Rattus norvegicus: one gene and its partners. The main gene of each other region encodes a partner of the protein of the gene in region 3 in a complex. Links are inferred from orthologs where the notes say so. Each region holds a gene or a part of one and is shown on either strand. Other genes may lie near its edges.

Region 1 (2,546 bases), about 120 Mb from region 3:
GGACTAGGTATCTGTTTCAGTCTCCTGTAACCTAGCCTGGCCTCAAGCTAGCTAAGTAGCACCAGGATGACCTTAAATTCCTCCTCTTGTTCCCAACACAGGGTATTATAGGCATACACCACCATACTGTTTACGCTGGGGATCGAACCTAGGGCTTTACATATGCCAGATGAGCACCCCACCAACTGAGCTATGTCCAAGGGCATCAGCTGCATCTCAGGCTGGGCGAGAGGAGCCAGGAGCTCACATCCTCCCTGGGGCCCGGGGCCCTCACCATCATAGTTTTCAGCTTCTAGCTGCAGCCTCCAATCTTCATCACGCAGCTCCTCTTCGTTCCCTGGGTTGGGTTGGGGGTCCGTGGCAACAGGGGCATGGCTGGTGTCTGGGGTGTGGTCCTGGCTCTGAGTGAGGTAGGTATCTGAGGCATCTCTTGGGTGGCTGGGACGGGGCTGAAGCAGTACATATGCACACGTGTGTGCCCTCACACGGCAGGCCAAGTGCAGTGCTGTGTGGCCCCCTCTCTCAGTCACCAACACTCCTGCGCCAGCTGCATAGAGTTTCTCTACTGTAGATGCCTCTCCAAGGATGGCTGCTAGGTGCAGGGCTGTCTACAGGGATAGAGGGAAGGGGTTAGGGCCACACTGACAATGCTGGACCCGGCTCCCTACAGCAAACATCCCCAGTGGCTCACTTGGCCTAGGTCGTTCTGCAAGTCCAGGTACTCAGTGCCGGCAGAGAAGCCCAGGAGGAAATCCAGGAAGGGCTCGTGCTGATGTATCACGGCCAAGTGCAGGGCTCTGGGGACAAAGGCAAAGGTCAGTAACACAGAGTGTCTTCTATGTGCTGCAAACTGTGGCCACAGTTGGAAACATTTCAGTGTTTGGGAGAGTCAGGGGGCAGAAGGTAATCCAGAAACTTTGTCTGACGGGGTTGGTGTTCTGAGATAAGATGGTCTTCATAAGTTGCCCACACTGACCTTGAGTTCAAGTCCCTCCTGCCTCAGCTTCCTGAGTGGCAAGGTTGACAAGCCTGTGCAAATAGGCCCCAGCTACCGACTTTGTTTCACCAGTATTTACTGAGTAATATAATCAGGTGTAATAGCTCTAATGCTAGTACGTGGGAAAACTAAAGTAGGAGGATTGTTAGTTCAAGGCCAGACTGAACTACATGGTGAGTTCTAAACCAGCAGTGTTAAATGCTAAATAATGAGATTCTATCACACACACACACACACACACACACACACACACACACACAGAAACACATAGACACAGAAACACACCACACACACACAGACACATACACCACACATACACACCACACACACCATATACACACACACATCACATACACCACACACACAACACACACACACCACGCACACACACACACCATATATACACACACATCACTCATACCACACACACACACACACACACACACACGCACACACACACATACATGCACACAGATCTAATAACAAGGAGAAGTAGCAACAGATGGATCCATAGACTGGTGATCTCAATAGGTCTCTGTCACCAACTGTTTGAATAAACAGAAAAACAGGAACAGAGTCAACTTGAAAGGCACCGTTCTTCAGGAGCGGCCGCCTTGACTCTGCAGTTGTGTGGACTGAATCTAAGGTAGCGGGCATGCAGGGAAGCTCTGTGCCACCGAGTTTCCTCCTGTTGGTTCCCTTTATTGTGAAACAGGGCCTTGCTATGAATGTCCCCAGGCTGGCCTTGAATTTACTCTCTTCCTAGGCAGGCCCTAACCTTGAACTCCTCCTGTCTCCGTCTTCTTTGTGGCTGGAATTACACACCCAGCTTTGAACAACACTGCTAACCAACATTACCTCTAAGTCACGCATCATCAGAATGAAATCTGTGGGACACAGTTCCTGAGAGCCCTTGCCTAACACTCAGGAGGCCCTGGGTTTGATGGCCAGCACCGCTAGAAAAAAACCAGAGACCGCAAATCAGACAAAGCATGTTCTCTGCCCTCAGTGAAATGAAATTTAAAGCCGGTGACAGAAAGAGGTCTGGAAAGTCCTCCAAGTGTGGAAAATGAATGTACTTCTTTATTACCTACTGGCTGAAGGAGAAATCAAAAGAGAAATTAAAAAATATACTCAATTATGCTAAAAACAAAACACAGTCTATCAGAAGTTCTCCAGAGGAAATATGTACAGCATTCCGAGCACATTAGAAAAGAAGAAAGGTGGGTTGGGGATTTAGCTCAGTAGTAGAGCGCTTGCCTAGCAAGCACAAGGCCCTGGGTTCGGTCCCCAGCTCCGAAAAAAAGAAAAAGAAAAAACAAAAAACAAAAAAAAAGAAAAGAAGAAAGGTGAGCTAGGCAGTGGCTTACTTGGGAGTGCTAGCTTAGCACACATAAGGCTCAACCCCAACTCTGCAGAAACCAGCCTTGCACCACCTTGCCTGGAATCCCAGGCAGGAAGGCCAAGAGTTTAAGGCTAGGGTAGGAGGGATGGCTCAGCAGTTAAGAGCACTGATTGCTCTTCCAGAGGTCTTGAGTTCAATTCCCAG
Region 2 (4,194 bases), on a different chromosome or scaffold from region 3:
GCCATTTCCAGACTGCTCTGAAGTCCAGTGGAGTGTATCCTATCCCTGGTTCTGTTCACTCACGTGCTTCCGTGAATACCGAGTGTGACTGTTTAAAGCTGGCAGAATTAATCCCTTACTGTAGATAGCACTTCAAGTATTGGACATCTTTTTGCTGTGTTCTTAAGATATCTATAAATACCTATACATTATATATATATGTATGTATATCGGGTCCTTCTGTATGTGGTTTCCCATTGATGGTTGTCTTCTCTTTGGTCAGGATGAACTTTTAATGGAGTTCATTACTTCCCTCTCTGTACAAAGTTAAGAGCCTAATTTTGTGTATTCTGGTGGCTGATAAGAGACTTTGAGATTACAAAATGCAAAACAAAAATCCTTATTGATATAGAAAGATATCTGTGCAGAAAAACTAATAAAGAAATTAAGCGTATGTGTGCCGTGCTTTCTATCACAGGGGAGGTTGCCTTAGATTCAGACAGGTGGAGGATAGTAAACATCTGTGTGTACCTCTACACCGTCAGTGCCTGGTCTGCACGTTTGTGGTGGGGGAGGGCTGAGTAGCCTCATTCTGTAGACAAAGCTGGTCTTGAATACTCAGCAGTTCTACTTCAGCGTCCTGGGTCCTTTGTTTTTTGTTTTTTTTCCTTTTGGGGTGATAGAGATTGAATCAGGGCGTTCACACACAATGGGCAAGGTTCTACCAAGTATATGGCACAGGCTATATACTCTGAGATATAGTTTTATCAATCATGACACTAACTCTTTTACAGCTGGGCAGAAAGCTTAGCCAGTGAGACCTCTTCAAAGCAAGGGCACGCCCCTTTTCGTTTGCTTGTCTTTAGTTGCTTTGAGACATGGTCTCACTCCGTAGCCTAGGCTTTCAAGGAACTCCCCATAATTTCCCTGTTTCTGGCTCCCAAGTACTGGAATTAAACTGCCAAGTTCCCCATGTTACCATTTGTACCACCATTCATTCACTTAACACTGACTACTTCCGATGTATCAGCAATTAAAAAAAAAAAACACGTAAGATTCTATCTTATGCAGAAGATGAAAAACAAGGGTAAATTGGCAACTGTGAATGTGTGTGTCTGCCAGATGTGGAAACTCTTCAGACCACTTCAAACCCAGGTGTAAATGGACTAATCGAAGGAAATAGACGGTTATTACCAGTGGTCGGTCACTACGGCACATTAGCCCAGCTCCATGGAGGAAGAAACCGGATTTTGCCCTTGCACCCTGCTCTCGGGGTCGCGCCCAGAACTCGGGTGCAGACAGCACAGAACCAGCCGGTGAGGTCGCGCACGCGCGATTCCCAAGCTGGAGCCGTTTAGAAGGGACACCGAGCTCCGCCCCGTCCGCTCGCGTTCCGCGGCGCCGGAAGCGCCGTGAGGACGCGGCTGCTCGCAGCATGGCTGCCCCGGCGAAGCGCGCGCGGGTAAGCGACGCATCCCCCCTCGCTGCGCCCTGCCCTGTCCCAAGAGCTGCCGCCCGCGTGCCCCTGCCGCTCCCGGCGGGGCCCAGCGGCCACGAGCCCGAGAGTGACGCAGTGGCCGGCTTCCTGCGCTGGTGCACGCGAGTGGGGCTGGAGCTGAGTCCCAAGGTGCTGGTGAGCCGGCAGGGCACGGTGGCCGGCTACGGCATGGTGGCGCGGGAGAGCGTGCAGCCCGGGGAGCTGCTGTTCGCAGTGCCGCGGTCCGCGCTCCTGTCTCCCCACACCTGTTCCATCAGCGACCTGCTCGAGCGAGGTGAGTAAGGGGCAGGGGACTGGCTCTGAGGCTGGCAAGGGAGTCGCGCTTGGACGTTCACCCGCTGTCTTCCCTAGAGCGAGGCGCGCTGCAGAGTCTGTCCGGGTGGGTGCCGCTGCTGCTGGCGCTGCTCCACGAGCTGCAGGCCCCCGCCTCACCCTGGAGCCCCTACTTCGCGCTCTGGCCAGAGCTGGGGCGATTGGAGCATCCCATGTTTTGGTGAGAGTCGAAGGTGAAGGGCCGGGAAGAACCTGTTTCCTTTGCTCTGGGCACCGGGCACCTGCTGCATGGGAGCTGCAGGCTGTGACGGGCCCTGGGTGGGCTGTTCTTGCAGGCCGGAGGAAGAGCGGTTGCGCCTCCTAAAGGGTACAGGTGTCCCAGAGGCCGTGGAGAAGGATTTGGTGAACATCCGTAGCGAATACTATTCCATCGTCCTGCCCTTCATGGAGGCTCACTCCGATCTCTTCAGCCCCACTGTTCGCTCCCTGGAGCTCTATCGCCAGCTCGTGGCTCTTGTCATGGCTTATAGGTAGGTCAGTGATTAAAGCCTAGAGGAGCAGCCCCTCATCTTTGAGGGGGAAGGTGGAAAAGAACAGTTAACTCCAGGCCCCTCACCCAAGACTGGGCCTTAGCTGAGTTCTCTCTGCGGCAGCTTTCAAGAACCGCTGGAGGAGGAGGAGGATGAAAAGGAGCCCAACTCCCCGTTGATGGTGCCCGCTGCAGACATTCTAAACCACATAGCCAATCATAATGCCAACCTAGAGTACTCTGCAGTGAGTGGACCCCCATCCCTGGTCAGGTTGTGTGCATTACAAGTGAAATCACTTGGCTCCAGTTTCCTCCTCCTGTGTACTTTTGGTATGAGACGGTGCGGACACACCCTAAGTTCACCAGAATAGCTGCCTGCTTTGCCAAATCACCTCAGGCCCTGTCCTGGAAAGGCACTTCAGTACTGTTCAAGAGGTGGGATGTTCATGGGCCAGAGGCACAGTAAGCCCCACTTTAGTATCGGTTCTGTATGGAAAATTGAGAAGGTACAGGCACATGCGATGGAGAAATGGGCAAATGTCAGCCTAATGGCTTACACCTGTGTCCTAGGAAGCTGAGGGAGGACCGAAGATGTCAGGCCCAAACTCCCAGGAATCTATACACGCCACTTTGTTCTCCAGTGTAAGCAGATGTGACTTTCACTTATTCTTCACCTCCATTCTACGGTGACTTTAAGTTTAACTTACGTTTTTGAGACATGGTCTTACTATATAGCCCTGGCTAGTGCAGGACTCTTAAGGTTGCCTCCTGAGCGCCAGGTGAGTCACCCGGCCTAGGCTTGTTTAAAGCTGGTGTAGGTAACTAGGCAGGTACACCTGGAATCCTAAACCCAACATACCAACCTCTCAAGTTGGTCTCCCCGCTTCAGTAATGCAGGGCTTAACTTAGCCTCAGCCCACAGTTCAACAGTCTCTTCCAAGGGGAAAGGGGCCTTCATAGGCTGGTGGGGCCGAAGCTGTGGTCCCAGCTTTATCATTTTAACCCAGGAATATCTCCGAATGGTGGCTACTCAACCCATTCTCAAAGGTCACGAAATCTTCAACACATATGGGCAAATGGCTAACTGGCAGCTGATTCACATGTATGGTTTCGCCGAGCCCTACCCTAACAACACAGATGACACAGCGGACATTCAGATGGTGGCAGTCCGCGAAGCTGCACTGCAGGGTGCGTGTGCCCACTCCAGGTTCTGGGGGCCTCTCTGGCGAGCCAGCTTGCTGGAGTTGATGTCCGCTCACTTCCATTACTTTACAGGAACAGAGGATGAAACCGAGAGGCTGCTCCTATGTGAACGCTGGGATTTCCTGTGCAAACAGGAGCTGGTAGGGGAAGAGGGAGCCTTTGTGATAGGTCGTGAGGAGGTGCTGACTGAAGAGGAGCTAGCCACCACACTTAAGGTACAGGGCTAACAGGGTGTGGGTGCTGGCATTTAGACTAACACAAAGGGGACCTAATTTCCCTACAGTGGTCTGGCTGTCTTCCCTACAGTGGTATGGAAGTCACAGATGGGAGCACATCCCATCTCAAGGGCCCGTGTTCCCTCTAGGTACTGTGCATGCCTGCTGAGGAGTTCAGAGACTACAAAGAGCGGGCTGGATGGGGAGAGGAAGAGACTGAAGATGGCAGTCTGGCAATCACAAATATCCCCAAGCTCCAAGAATCGTGGAAACGGCTTCTTCGAGACAGTGTTCTGTTGACCCTACAGACCTATGCCACAGACTTAAAAACTGAGCAGGATTTACTCAGTAACAAGGAGGTCTATGCCAAGCTGAGCTGGCGGGAGCAGCAAGCCTTGCAGGTCCGCTATGGTCAGAAGATGATCTTGCATCGGTTGCTAGAACTCACAAGTTAAGCAGGTATCCTGAGAACCCTTTAAGTTCCTGTTCTATTGCTT
Region 3 (4,079 bases):
CATGTTCATATTAATTAAATTGCAACTATATGTCAGTTTTTAAAAGTGGTTCGTGCGAGGATCAATGATGGCTGTGTGCCATTAATCGGAGACCATAATTCATTCTGTCACCTTGATGTCCGCCCCCGCAAAACATTAAACTGCTTTTTCTAATCTGCGCCAAGTGAGAAACTGAAATGAGTGGGAGGGGCGGTAACTATTTTCACTTTTGTCTTCCTGTTTTTTTCAGAGCCTGGGAAAGAAGTCAGAATTTCCAATCTTTTCCAATTCCCACATGATTTCCTAATTTAGAGAAAATAAGTCTTTCTCCATGTGCTAAAGCCTCCTCTGCCCCCCACCCCGCCTCCTCCTTCTGGCATTGTGGAGGGAGCCTGATGTGTTGATTCCTCCAGCCAGTGTCCCCAGACTCAATCTGCACACCCGCCCTTGGCTTAGATGGCAATTTTCTCTCCCTACAAAAGCTTTCATCACTGGAGCTCAGGCTCCTGGGAGGCCTTCAAGGAGATGCTCAAGTGGTGTGACCCTGGCTAGCTCCGGAGATCCCTAGGGATCTGAACCTTAGCAGACAGGACCTATCTGTGGAGGCGAAGCCCTGGAGCTCTTCCAGCATTCATTGCTCTCAGGGACTCTTAGAGGTACAGGTGTCTACCTCGGTCCCCTCTACACCAAGGCCTCAGTCAAGCCTTGATGAAGCATGCTTTGGGAAGCACTCCTGCGCGCAGCCGGATCTAGGTTGGGAGCATATGGCCTGTAACGCGCGGCGGTCCCCAGAAGGCCCTGCACGAGTAGGAAAACGTGTGGAATTCAGTCACTGTGCTCCGCGGAAGCAGCAGGCCTGAGCCTCTCCTTGTGCAGGGCGAATGGCCGCAGCCTGCCAGCAGCCCGGGCTCTGCTCCAGACCAGGCCAGGGTGACATCACCAAACTCTTGAGATCAGAGCGGGGCGGGGAACGGGACCCGAAATCCCCTAAAAACAGAGTGAGTAATCGCGGGCCCGCCCTCCAGGCGGGGCCCGGACACGGAGCGAACCGCGCTGCGTAGTCCGGGAGCGGCTTGCAGTCGGGCGGGCCTCAGGACGAATAGCCTCGGCGTCCTACCGCCGCGCTCCGGTGTCCCCGCCCGCGCGCCGCACACCTTCCGCGCCCAGCGTGAGTTGCGCACCTGCTCTCGGCCCCCACGCGCGTCGGTGGCGGCGGCGCAGCGCGCAGGCGCGGCCGGATTCCGGGCAGTGACGCGACGACGGGCGCGCGCCGCGCATTTCCGCCTCTGGCGAATGGCTTCGCTTTAGCGCGCCGTGGGCTCAGCTGCGACCCCGGCCCCGCCCCCGGGACCCTGGCCATGGACGGTGAGGCTGCCCTCTGGCCCGCGGGACGGCTGCCCTAGAGTTCCGGGACCTGCGGCGGGATCCCCCTCGCGCCGTCTTCCGCCCCTTTCTGCGCCGCGGGTTGCTGCGCAGGGAGCGGCAGGCCGGATGGTGGCACGGGGCGGGGCGGGCTGCGAGGGGTCTGACTCAGTTGCCCCTCTCAGTGGAGGGCGCCTTGACTCAATGTCCCTCCTGGGTGGGAGTACGGGTGAATCTTGACTCAGTTTCCTCCGGCTTCCCCCCCCCACCCACTGTGTCGATGCGATTAGTTCTGGCTTCCTTTCCGTGTAAGGGAGAAAGTATCTGACTCAGTATCCCCCGAAAAGGAGAGGGGGTAGAACCCTTCCTCAGTGTCACTTATGAACGTAAAACAGGCTCTGACTCAGTTTCCCCGGGCAAAGGAATACCTCTGTGCCCCTTTTCTCTAGTAGAGAGATGCTTTTGCCTTCTTTACCTGGCCTCTTTCAGGGCAGGTCTTAGGATCTTGGCTCAGTTTCCTTTGGAGGCATTCCCTGGTGAGGGTGGGTACTGGAGTTTATTGACAGTGTGCCTTGTCTTTCCCTTTCAGATCTGTTTCCCCTCATCTTTCCCTCAGGTAAGTGGACCATCCTTCCTCAGTAGGTAGGGGCTGTCCTGGAGTAGGGGCCATGGGGGCAGCACCTAATGGCTGACCGTATCACCCACAGAGCCAGCCCAGGCTTCTGGGCCATATGTGGAGATCATTGAGCAGCCCAAGCAGCGGGGCATGCGTTTCCGTTACAAGTGCGAGGGCCGCTCTGCAGGCAGTATTCCTGGGGAGAGAAGCACAGATACCACTAAGACGCACCCCACCATCAAGGTAAGCAAGAGCCCCCAGGGGTGTCGGGGTGGGGACACAGATGTGGTGGAAGGCACTGTGGAGCCCCAGCAGACTTGCCTCCTTGCCACCGCGCCCCGTGTCTAGGAGCCAGATTTGGGATTGCTGGCCTCTAAAGTACTCTGTACTTTGGACAGATCAATGGCTACACGGGACCAGGAACAGTTCGAATCTCCCTGGTCACCAAAGACCCACCTCACCGGCCTCATCCACATGAACTTGTGGGGAAGGACTGCCGGGATGGCTTCTATGAGGCTGAACTCTGCCCAGACCGATGCATCCACAGGTGAGTCTGAATAGATAGGCTGGGGGTAGTGTGAGGTCAGGGTAGGTAGGGGGCAGGGTAAGAGCAGGCTGGGCCAGGCAGCTGTTACAAAGTTACACTTTTCTAAACACTGGCAGAATCCAGAGTCCTTGCTCTGTCCCCAGGTCTGCAAACAGACCCCCTTTGTCTTAAATTCGCTAACAGATGGGAACTCTTTATCTTGGAGCGACAGATCCTTTATGACTGGATAGCCCAGTCCCTTAGGCTCTTGTATCAGAAAGTCCGTAATGGACTCTCCTAGAGCTTAAATACCAGTTGGTAAAACCAGGGGACAGTTGTACAAACAGATAGAAAAGATACTAGTGGAGAATTATAATTTCCATGATGAAAAGAAAACACAGTAATAAATTAGAAGGAGGAGGAGGCTGGTCTCGTGGCATAGGGACAGAGTCTCATATAGCTGAAGCTGGCCTTGCACTCATGAGGGTTCACCTACCTCCTCTTCTCAACTCCAAGGGTAATAGGCGCGTAGCACCATGTCCTGTTACGTAGGTCTCATGACTTTGGGTTGGAAGATTGCAGAAGGCCTCTGTGCTAACACTCAAATGGTGAGAAAAAGCAGACAAGCCCAAAAGAACATTGCATGCACAAGAAAGAAGTATGGTGACCTGGAAAAGGGACTAAGTTTAGTGTGCTCAGGGACGGGACAGGAAGGCCCTGTGGCTGAGGCTAGGACACTGACTTGGGGGCTGGTGTGGGCCAGGTCCCTCAGAGACTCGCCAGTGGGTAAGGAGTGGGTTCATTGTAGCACAGTGGGAAGCCTTGAGCTGTGAGCTGAGGAGTGGGAAGAGGGTGTTCTTTTGGAGACACAGAACTAATGCCTGAGGCCTCAGCTTCCAGAACCTGGGGATCCAGTGTGTGAAGAAGCGAGACCTGGAGCAAGCCATTAGCCAGCGCATCCAGACCAACAATAACCCCTTTCAAGGTAGGAGCAAGGGGCAGGACATAGCCTGCCTGTGGTGCACATTCTGCCACCTTCCCTGGGCCTCTGGCGCTCCTCACCCTCCATGACCAACCCAACAGTACAAGTGGAACCTCGCTGCCAGCATGGTACACACTCACATGCTACCGTTGAGAGTCAGGCCTAGAAAGGGGTGGTGTATTCAGGTCCCAGTAGAGCCGTGATGGGTCTAGGATTTTGTCTTCCTCCCCTTAGACTTCTGTTTTATATATCCTCAAATCACCTTCCTCTTCCCTCAGAGCTCCCTGCCCTCCCCATGCCTTCCACCACTTTTTTTTTTTTTTTGACAGTTCCCATAGAGGAGCAGCGCGGGGACTATGACTTGAATGCGGTCCGCCTCTGCTTCCAGGTGACAGTGCGGGACCCATCAGGCAGGCCCCTCCGCCTGACCCCTGTCCTCTCGCATCCGATTTTTGATAACCGTAAGTGGCCAGCTGCAGTAAGGGGAGAGGGTGGGCTTGGGAAGAGAATGGGGCTGGGGTGGGTGTGGCCTTGCTGCAGGGGGCAGGGCAGAGAAGACCCAGAGCTGCCTCTGTGGGAAGCTTGCAGGATGCCCTGGAGTTGGATGGGAAGTG
Region 4 (3,511 bases), on a different chromosome or scaffold from region 3:
CATTTGTATTAAGATTTCTGAGTGGACCAGTGTATCTCCACAATCTTGAATGCACAGAACAGGAGGAATATTGTCACACAGTACTCTGTGTCTCACTTTTAAGGACTGTATACTCTAATGCTGCCATAGCAATGTGACCCTTCTTTGTCCACATTGCTGTCTTTTAATTGTAGTCATTCTCAATGTGAACAGTTGTCTAGTTCAACTCACATTTCCTTAATAACTACAGTTTTGGGGCATCTTTTTTCAGGTGCTCATTGACCATTTTTATGTCTTTCTTAGAAAATTGCAAATCTTTTAGCCACTTTTTTGTTCTTTGTTTTGGTATTTATTTTTTTAATGTGTTAGGTTTTCTGCCTGCATGCAGGTCTGTGTACCACATGCATGCCTTGTACCTGAGGAAGCCAGAAGGAAGGATTGGATTCCCTTGAACTGGAGCTACAAACAACTGAGAGCTACCACAAGAGTGCTCAGAGTCAAATCTGGGCTGTCTGGGAGAGCAGTTAGTATTCTTAGTTGCTGAGCCATTTCCCCCATCCTAGGTTTTTAAAACGTCTTAATTTTTGAAGAAGTCAGATAAATGAAATAATATGCCAAACGAGATAATAATTATGTCTAAATTTTAGGGGGAGTAGGGATACAGATTAAGCCTACACGACATGAGAAGCTTAAGAAAACATCTGTTACTGATAAAGTACAGAGCATTAACTTTCTCTGAAGACTGCCTCAAAGACAACTCCTAGCCCTATACTAAAAGCCATAATTCTAAGGCCAGTATTAAGACTAAGGAAGTACTGTGTGAGTTTTTGGTGTGTGTGTGCAATACAACTAAAGTAGTGTTTGAGTTCTGGTGTGTGTGTAGGCACATATGTGCGTGTGTGCATGCATGCGCGCAGTTTCATGTAGCTCAGGCTAGCTGTGTGATCTTCCTTCTATCTCCATTTTGAAAGTGCTGGGATCATGGGACTGTACTACCAGATCCTGGGTAAAGTAAAAACAAAGTAAAACCAACAAAAATAAAAATAGCAAACTTATCACTTGTAAATTTGGGTTTTGCTCAGCAGATCAGAGTTCTTGCTAAATCAAATCCTCAGAAACCTTGTTAAAGAGCCAGTCAAGTTCATGTGTCCACTTGTATCCCTAGTATAGTGGGGATGCTGACAGCACACCCAGTGTCCTCTTCTGGCTTCTGGGTGCATACTTGCTGCGTGTGTGTGTGTGTGTGTGTGTGTGTGTGTGTGTGTGTGTACATAAATCATACATATACACAAAAGATGCAAATTTAATAATAAACATGTAACAAAGATATTTACAATAAATCATACATTTAAATAACTAGCATTGGTCAAATCTTTCTAAATTAGCCGTTTCTATTTTTTTGATTTTTGATACAGGGTTCCTCTGTATAGTCCTAGCTATACTGGAACTCTGAAGACCAGGCTGGCCTTGAACTGAAGAGATCCATCCTCCTCTGCCTCCCAAGTGCTGAGATTAAAGGGGGACTTTTTCTTTAGTTTGCATACACATGTATAATGAGCTTGAAATCATGTGTTTTCCTCTGTTGTTTTCCTTTTATATAATTATTATTTTGAGGCATGGTCTCTCACTGAGCTTGGAGTAACTGAACTACCAGGATCCCCCTGTGCCACCTCAGTCCTGGGCTTACAGGCACAAATTGCCACATCAGCTTTTATGTAGGTGCTGAGGATCTGAACTGGGCCTTTTTTTCTTTTATTCCCTTTAAGCTTCATTGTTGATTCTAACGTCCAGCAAAGGGCAAGAAAGGTAACTTAGGCTATAGCTTTCCTTAATACAACTGCTCAGTTGACTTTAGATCATTCTAGGATTAAAGACCACTTTTACCTTAAAAAATGCAGGGAAGGCTTTCTGGTTCTGCTTTAGCCCTGCAGTTTGACCATCACTGTGTTTGAGTGTGCATGCACGTGCCAAGTACGCTTATGTGGATGTGGTACAGTAGAGGCTGAACTTCGTACAAGTGAGGCAAGTGCTGCACAACTGAGTGGGGGCGAAGGAACGGAAAAAGAAAACAAGAATGGTTTCAGATGCCACCCAAGGTGCTACACTAATTATACTTCTTGGTATTGAAAATCAGTTCTTCACAGTAGTGTCTCCCTGTCTGGTAGGGAAGGGCAGTTCTTAATAAACTACAGTAGTTTTATCTCGATTTCTCCACCTTTAAAACTAAAATAACTCACCTTTTCCCATCAAGGACACATTACATTGTTAGGTGAATAGTATGCTTTAATTAAAAAAAAAAAAAAACAAAACTGTTCATCTTTGAATGCCATGCTTAAAGCATGGTGAGAAAAACCCAATTTAATCAAAATAAACCTACCTGAACTTTAACTTCCTGGTGGCTGAGTAGCGGAACCAAATGAGGAACTATTCCAGAGTCTATTACCATCTGTATCTGCTCATTGCCAGCATCCGTAAGGTAAGATAGGGCCCAGACAGTATCTACCAGTATCTAATAAGTAAAAGAAAAGTTCAAGTATTTCAATATTTTCTCGTTGTAATATTTCCTTTTGATTTTTCTTGGGGAGGGGCATAGGATTTTGAAACAGGGTTTCTGTGTGCAGCTCTAGTTGTCGTGGAACTTGCTCTGTAGACCAGGCTGGCCCCAAACATAGAGATCTACCTGCCTCTGCCTTCTGAATGCTGGGATTAAAGACATGAGCTACCATATTCGGCAATTTTAATAATTCTTAACCATAACATGAGATCTTTCTCTTCTTCCTTCAACTCACTAGAGAACATCAATCTCTATTCTATAGCTGTGTTTAAGATGTGTAAGTTATAGTCCAAGTCCCTTATCAGTATCTAATCCTAATTCAGCAAACTACACATGCAAACTATACAGCATATTAAATAGAAAACCAACCAACCAACCACAGATAAAGATCAAGGTAAGAAATATATAAAAAACAGTAACTCCTGAAAAAATAATTACTTCATATCACTGCTACTATGGGGGAAGAGGGGTTTTGATTAATTTATAATAATGCGAGTCATGTGTTTGATCCTTCTTTGTATTCTAAACCCTACTTCAAACCATGGCCAAAGGACAGTAGGGTAAAAAGACAGTAAAAGGTGATATATAAATAACACAATTGTTTATAAAAAAAACTCCCTCAGGAATAGCAACTATATCTGGAACTCCAAAACCCTTTGAACTCTGTATCAAAAAAAAGAAGTTTAAAACCTTTTCAATTCCTAACCAATATTATGATTAAGACACTAAAGAGACTGTAAAAGGGAAACAGCAGGGTTGGGGATTTAGCTCAGCGGTACAGCACTTGCCTAGCAAGCTCAAGGCCCTGGGTTCGGTCCCCAGCTCAAAAAAAAAAAAAAAGAAAAAAAAAAAAAAGAAAAAAAAAGGGGGGGGGGAACAGCACAGCATAGCTCCTTTAGAAATTTAAGAAAGCAGTTGAGCATGGTAGTGCATGCCTATAACTGCTCTCGGGAAACAAGGAAGGAAGAACAGAGTGTG
Region 5 (4,188 bases), on a different chromosome or scaffold from region 3:
TTCTTTTTTTTTTTTAGAAAAATAAAACTCTATTTGTACAAATATACAAGTCCACGTTCCTTTGGCCACTTTCCTCTTATAACGTCAGACGCTGGCCTCCAAACACACAGTCATCGTAGGGCAACTGGAACAAGAGAGGGAAAAAGGCACATTAGATTCCTAGAACTTCGCCAAGCCATTGGGATGGCGGGAGAGCTGCTTCTACAAATAACTCCCATTCCTGGACTCTCTCCTCCTCAGCCTAAACAGAACGCAGGCGCCGGGCTGCAGGAGTTCCCTTCACCAATTCTCTCCTTTCAAAAGTCTAAGCTATTGCAGGGGACATAGCTCAATGGTAGAACATGTGCCTATTACCACGTGTTAAAGCCTGGGTTCAATTCCCACAACTCCCTCTTACTGCCCCATTCCGAAACCCACAAGGGTAAGCTATTAAAGCAAACCAGAGACACGTTCTTGGGATCCTGGCTTTGCAAGCTGAGACTGAGAAGTTGAATAACTCAGGTCCCTATGATACAGAACAGCTCTAGAACAGACCTAGGTGTGGTGAGGGAGAATGGACCACTCTGGCAGTAATGAACACGCACCTCATCTTCCGTGAATTCTGACTCCGTGTCATAGCTCTCCTCATCCTCACTCTCGGGCAGCGTCTGAAGATTTTCCAGGGTCAGCTGGCCCAGCTGCTGCTGTATCCGGGTACTTGGGCGGCCCCACGTAAGCTGGTAGGGGGAGTAGCCCTGGTAGGTTACTCTGTTGACATCAGCCCCACACTTCAACAGGAGCGAGACCAGGTCAGGATTCTGCAGGTCCACTGCAAGGTGGAGGGCTGTCCGGCCATTACAGGGCTCCTGAAACCAAAGGCAATCAGAAGTGTTTATCTGGAAATCTGCTCACAGTAAGAGCCAGCCCAGCAGAGTTTAGGAGGAAGGGGAAGTACTCACCTGAGCGTTGACATCAGCACCCAAAGTCACCAAGTGCTCCACGATGCCCAGGTAGCCATGGATAGAGGCTAAGTGTAGACACGTGTGGCCTGCAGGATATAAGACGGAACTGTAACCACTTGTTTCAATCCTCACACAAGTCACGTCTCCTTTCTTGGGGACAACCACAAACAACCTCAATTTTGAAGAACTCAAAAGTCTGGGTTCTCAGTGAACGTCATGTAGGAATCATGGAGAAGACTTTTTAAAAGTCCACACTGCCTGAACTTCTTATACGTTGAGGCGTTTTAGCTCCAGGCTAGACTCAAGGGGACCCGTCTCTCCCTTCTCTGCGTCCCTGGATGGACTGGCAGACCTACCGTTGTAGTTGGTGGCCTGCAGGACGGAGTGGAGATGCTGGGGCGTACAGGTCTGAGTCAAGACTGCTACACTGGCCAGGCAGCCCTGCTCACAGGCAAGATGGAGAGGGGTATTTCCTCGAAAGTCTCGGAGCTCAGGATCACAGCCAGCTTTCAGAAGTGCCTCAGCAATTCCTGGCTGGTTGGTGATCACAGCCAAGTGGAGTGGAGTCTACGAATGGAAGAGGAAACAGAAAGAGCCTAAGCCATGGAGCAAACCCATAGTCTTGAGTTTCCTGAACCCCAGACACCTCCTATTACAGAATCCCCTCCTCCCATTTGTCTACAGGAGATCAGGCAAACAGGAGGCCCTACGTGGGTCATAAAGACCTCAACCAACCCTTGGGATTTTCCTTCTTGCTCTAAGACTTTGGCTAATTTGAATGTAAAAGGCCAGGGCAGATAAGGACCGTGACTGTTAATTTAGAAACGCTTTGGGGGCGACTGAGCTTCATCTAACTCCACCACGGGGTCAAAGAGGGCACAGCTGGGCAAGCCCGCACCTGCTGCAGGTTGTTCTGGAAGTTGAGGAAGGCCAGGTCTCCCTTCACCTGACCAATCACTTCCATGGTCAGTGTCTTCTCTTCATGGATGATTGCCAAGTGCAGGAACCTGCGGGATGACAGGGAAACCCCCCAGGGGTGGTGAGCGCACTGCGTGGGGCCCCCGAGAGGCGCGGGCTGCGGGGGATTGCGCAAGGCCGGGGTTTCTGGAGGCCGCGGCCGCGGTGTTTTCCGCGAGGTTATTATGAGCTGAGTGTTCCTGGCAGCCGCCCAGGGACTTTCCGTGCCCCACCCCCTCCGGGCGGGCGCCGGCCAGACCGGCCCGCCCTCCGCCGCCCGGAACGCCCTGTACTTCCCCTCGCGGCCGCGCAGCGCCCGGCGGCTGCGCGGAAACTCTGCCAGGCGGGGACTTTGCGTCCTCGTTGCCGCCCCGCCCCCGGCCTGCGCTCGGCTACTCCGGGTCCCGGGAAATGGGGTGGGGGGATGGGGAGGCAGGCGGCCCGGCGCCCGCAGCTCTGTAGCCCCGTAGCCCCGCAGCCCCGCCGTGCAGAGCCCCGAGCGCGGTGCAGGCCCCGCGCGACCCCGCCCGTGCCCATGCCCGAGCCCGCCGCCACTTACGAGTCTCCGTCCTCCGTGAGCTGTTGCTTCCAGGGCTCGGCAGCCAGAGGCGCCTCCTGCGGCTGCAGGCGGATCTCCCGCAGCTCCTTCACCATCTGCTCGTAATCCTCGTCCTTCATGGAGTCCAAGCCGCTGTCGTGGCGGTCGTCCACCAACCGCTCCTTCTTGAGGCCGTCCCGCGGGCCCTCCATGGCCCAGTCCTGGCCGTGCCCAGCTGGCTGAAACATGGCTGTGCGGAGCTGAGCGGGTGCAGGGTGCAGGCTGCTGGCAGTTGGGTGGCGAGTTCAGACTGTTGTGGGCTCGGCAGCGCCGCCTCGGCGCCCTATAAACGCTGGCAGGGGATTTCTCAGGGGCGGGGTCAGGCGCGGGGAATTTCCAAGCCAGTCAGACTAGAAAAAGAACTGGCTCGTCCTCGACTGAGAAGCCTAAACCCAGGGCCGGGGTTCATCAGAGAAACTCCCTACGATGAGCCACTGGGGTCATGTACAGGGAACTTTTTGATGAGCCCTGAGTGGCTGGAAAGTCCTCCCGACCAGGCCCCCTCCCTCTAGGTACTTCCCTGCAGCCTGCACTCAGTAACCCCAGCGTTCTACAAGAGCCCTTCTTTCCCTGGGGTTTCCCACCGACGACTTTGGTTTGGGGTCCCAAGCTGCTGAGATTCCAAGGACGCAAACCTGCTAGGCTGTTCCTCTTAGAGATTTGCCAATTTGCAGGTCCTTTCCGGTTCTTGATCTTTTGAAAACCCAAGAGTGGAAATGGCTGGCTGGGTGCAGGGATTCGCTTCTCCTAAATTTCTGCGACGACGGACGTATGAGTGATTCCGGGTCGTCTGTGTTTCAGGCTCTTTGCAGTGCATGGACATTTGGCTGCCCTTCACCATCCCCCCTCGAAGCTGTAGACACTTTGGCATTCAAACAAACAAAACCAATAACAACAACAACAAAATCCAAGCGCCTGGAGAACCCCTAGATTAATTCCGAGGGGTCAATAATCTCGCCCGGGGGAGGGGCAGCGGGGGAGGGGCAAAGTCTAGCTCCATATGGGAACCACATTTTCCCCCAAGTAATGCAAGGTGTTAATCTTTGTAGAAGTTGTAGCTTCCATGCAACAGAAACTGTTGAGTTCTTGCTGTTGGAGTTAACTTGTTAACTTGTAGAGAATAAAGCCGGAGCTTATTGTGAATGCCTAGCAGAACAACTGGTTTAGTGCCCTAGCCTCTTAAACATAGCTAAGAAAGTAACTTTGAAGCATCCTGCAGGAGGCTCAACATAGTCCTAACACTGACCACATCTGAAACCTGCTGGTTCTACTAGCTTCCTTGCTTCCCAGGGACCGCAGCATTGTGGGTGGCTACTCCTCAAGAAAGGGATTTGGGCCTGTGATCCCCTAGTTTTACCTGCAAAAGTAGAAGTGTTGCTTCCACCCCATCCCGACTTAGGAGCCTGCAAGTGTGAGGTAACTCGGGAAAATTAAAGCAACTTGGATCACAGTTTGTCAGAATAGACCCAGTAGGCTTCCTGTTCTGCATAGATTTCTGGTGAAATTTGAGTGATCTTTTTCTTGTTGAGCCTTGTAGCAACTCTCCTCTCTTCGTAATTCCACTGCCTCCCCCACAGTATGAAAGTGAGGACACTGGGGGAAAAGATTCAAAGTCCAGGAAAAAACAAAAACTTCCAGACAACAACGTCACGTTAAAGTTAAGACTTCCTCAGCAAATCCTCTTCATCATCT

The links.
Region 1: the proteins of Rela (region 3) and Nfkbib are in contact, whole or in part, in a crystal structure (PDB 1K3Z), measured with the Mus musculus proteins. The link is inferred for Rattus norvegicus from reciprocal best matches to the Homo sapiens genes RELA and NFKBIB. Residues at the interface, in NP_033071.1 of Mus musculus: Lys218, Lys221, Ser240, Gln241, Ala242, Asp243, Val244, Arg246, Gln247, Asp294, Arg295, Arg297, Ile298, Lys301, Arg302, Arg304, Thr305, Tyr306, Thr308, Phe309, Ile312, Met313, Ser316, Pro317, Phe318, Gly320; in NP_001293151.1 of Mus musculus: Tyr53, Thr55, Glu56, Asp57, Asp59, Ala61, Leu64, Ala65, Ile67, His68, Gln69, His70, Pro72, Phe73, Phe76, Asn91, Leu93, Gln95, Leu100, Ile103, Leu104, Gly105, Arg125, Val137, Arg275, Leu283, Arg284, Asp306, Lys307, Leu308.
Region 2: the proteins of Rela (region 3) and Setd6 are in contact, whole or in part, in a crystal structure (PDB 3RC0), measured with the Homo sapiens proteins. The link is inferred for Rattus norvegicus from reciprocal best matches to the Homo sapiens genes RELA and SETD6. Residues at the interface, in NP_068810.3 of Homo sapiens: Glu307, Thr308, Phe309, Lys310, Ser311, Ile312; in NP_001153777.1 of Homo sapiens: Ser120, Trp122, Val220, Met221, Ala222, Tyr223, Ser224, Phe225, Gln226, Glu227, Pro228, Pro238, Asn239, Ser240, Pro241, Asn259, Leu260, Tyr262, Asn283, Thr284, Tyr285, Met288, Met296, Tyr297.
Region 4: the proteins of Rela (region 3) and Kpna4 are in contact, whole or in part, in a crystal structure (PDB 7LF4), measured with the Homo sapiens proteins. The link is inferred for Rattus norvegicus from reciprocal best matches to the Homo sapiens genes RELA and KPNA4. Residues at the interface, in NP_068810.3 of Homo sapiens: Lys301, Arg302, Lys303, Arg304, Thr305, Tyr306, Glu307, Phe309; in NP_002259.1 of Homo sapiens: Lys231, Asp271, Arg306, Asn310, Val312, Thr313, Gly314, Thr315, Asp316, Thr319, Lys344, Glu345, Trp348, Ser351, Asn352, Ala355, Glu387, Trp390.
Region 5: the proteins of Rela (region 3) and Nfkbia are in contact, whole or in part, in a crystal structure (PDB 1NFI), measured with the Homo sapiens proteins. The link is inferred for Rattus norvegicus from reciprocal best matches to the Homo sapiens genes RELA and NFKBIA. Residues at the interface, in NP_068810.3 of Homo sapiens: Arg50, His181, Lys221, Ser238, Phe239, Ser240, Gln241, Ala242, Asp243, Arg246, Arg253, Asp294, Arg295, Ile298, Lys301, Arg302, Arg304, Thr305, Tyr306, Thr308, Phe309, Ile312; in NP_065390.1 of Homo sapiens: Thr71, Glu72, Asp73, Asp75, Phe77, Leu80, Ala81, Ile83, His84, Glu85, Glu86, Leu89, Leu110, Gln112, Leu117, Ile120, Thr121, Asn122, Phe142, Arg143, Leu150, Gln154, Arg218, Asp226, Leu227, Gln249, Tyr251, Gln255, Leu256, Trp258.

What each region holds. Positions count from the first base shown.
Region 1 is NC_086019.1:93,175,846-93,178,391, forward strand, and holds part of Nfkbib (NF-kappa-B inhibitor beta), read right to left. Parts: intron 798-2,546; coding exon 692-797; intron 609-691; coding exon 275-608; intron 1-274. UniProt on the Homo sapiens protein: Inhibits NF-kappa-B by complexing with and trapping it in the cytoplasm.
Region 2 is NC_086037.1:9,353,709-9,357,902, reverse strand, and holds the start of Setd6 (N-lysine methyltransferase SETD6), read left to right. Parts: upstream 1-1,387; 5' UTR 1,388-1,414; coding exon 1,415-1,751; intron 1,752-1,828; coding exon 1,829-1,970; intron 1,971-2,085; coding exon 2,086-2,280; intron 2,281-2,403; coding exon 2,404-2,524; intron 2,525-2,849; coding exon of another isoform or gene 2,850-2,921; intron 2,922-3,286; coding exon 3,287-3,467; intron 3,468-3,554; coding exon 3,555-3,697; intron 3,698-3,846; coding exon 3,847-4,152; 3' UTR 4,153-4,194. UniProt on the Homo sapiens protein: Protein-lysine N-methyltransferase. Monomethylates 'Lys-310' of the RELA subunit of NF-kappa-B complex, leading to down-regulation of NF-kappa-B transcription factor activity. Monomethylates 'Lys-8' of H2AZ (H2AZK8me1).
Region 3 is NC_086019.1:212,353,060-212,357,138, forward strand, and holds the start of Rela (transcription factor p65), read left to right. Parts: upstream 1-1,276; 5' UTR 1,277-1,337; coding exon 1,338-1,344; intron 1,345-1,930; coding exon 1,931-1,957; intron 1,958-2,048; coding exon 2,049-2,200; intron 2,201-2,355; coding exon 2,356-2,504; intron 2,505-3,376; coding exon 3,377-3,468; intron 3,469-3,794; coding exon 3,795-3,926; intron 3,927-4,079. UniProt on the Homo sapiens protein: NF-kappa-B is a pleiotropic transcription factor present in almost all cell types and is the endpoint of a series of signal transduction events that are initiated by a vast array of stimuli related to many biological processes such as inflammation, immunity, differentiation, cell growth, tumorigenesis and apoptosis.
Region 4 is NC_086020.1:155,649,244-155,652,754, forward strand, and holds part of Kpna4 (importin subunit alpha-3), read right to left. Parts: intron 2,489-3,511; coding exon 2,357-2,488; intron 1-2,356. UniProt on the Homo sapiens protein: Functions in nuclear protein import as an adapter protein for nuclear receptor KPNB1. Binds specifically and directly to substrates containing either a simple or bipartite NLS motif.
Region 5 is NC_086024.1:78,594,270-78,598,457, forward strand, and holds the start of Nfkbia (NF-kappa-B inhibitor alpha), read right to left. Parts: upstream 2,804-4,188; 5' UTR 2,685-2,803; coding exon 2,458-2,684; intron 1,949-2,457; coding exon 1,840-1,948; intron 1,509-1,839; coding exon 1,298-1,508; intron 1,028-1,297; coding exon 939-1,027; intron 846-938; coding exon 585-845; coding exon of another isoform or gene 498-584; exon of another isoform or gene 125-497; coding exon 77-124; 3' UTR 1-76. UniProt on the Homo sapiens protein: Inhibits the activity of dimeric NF-kappa-B/REL complexes by trapping REL (RELA/p65 and NFKB1/p50) dimers in the cytoplasm by masking their nuclear localization signals.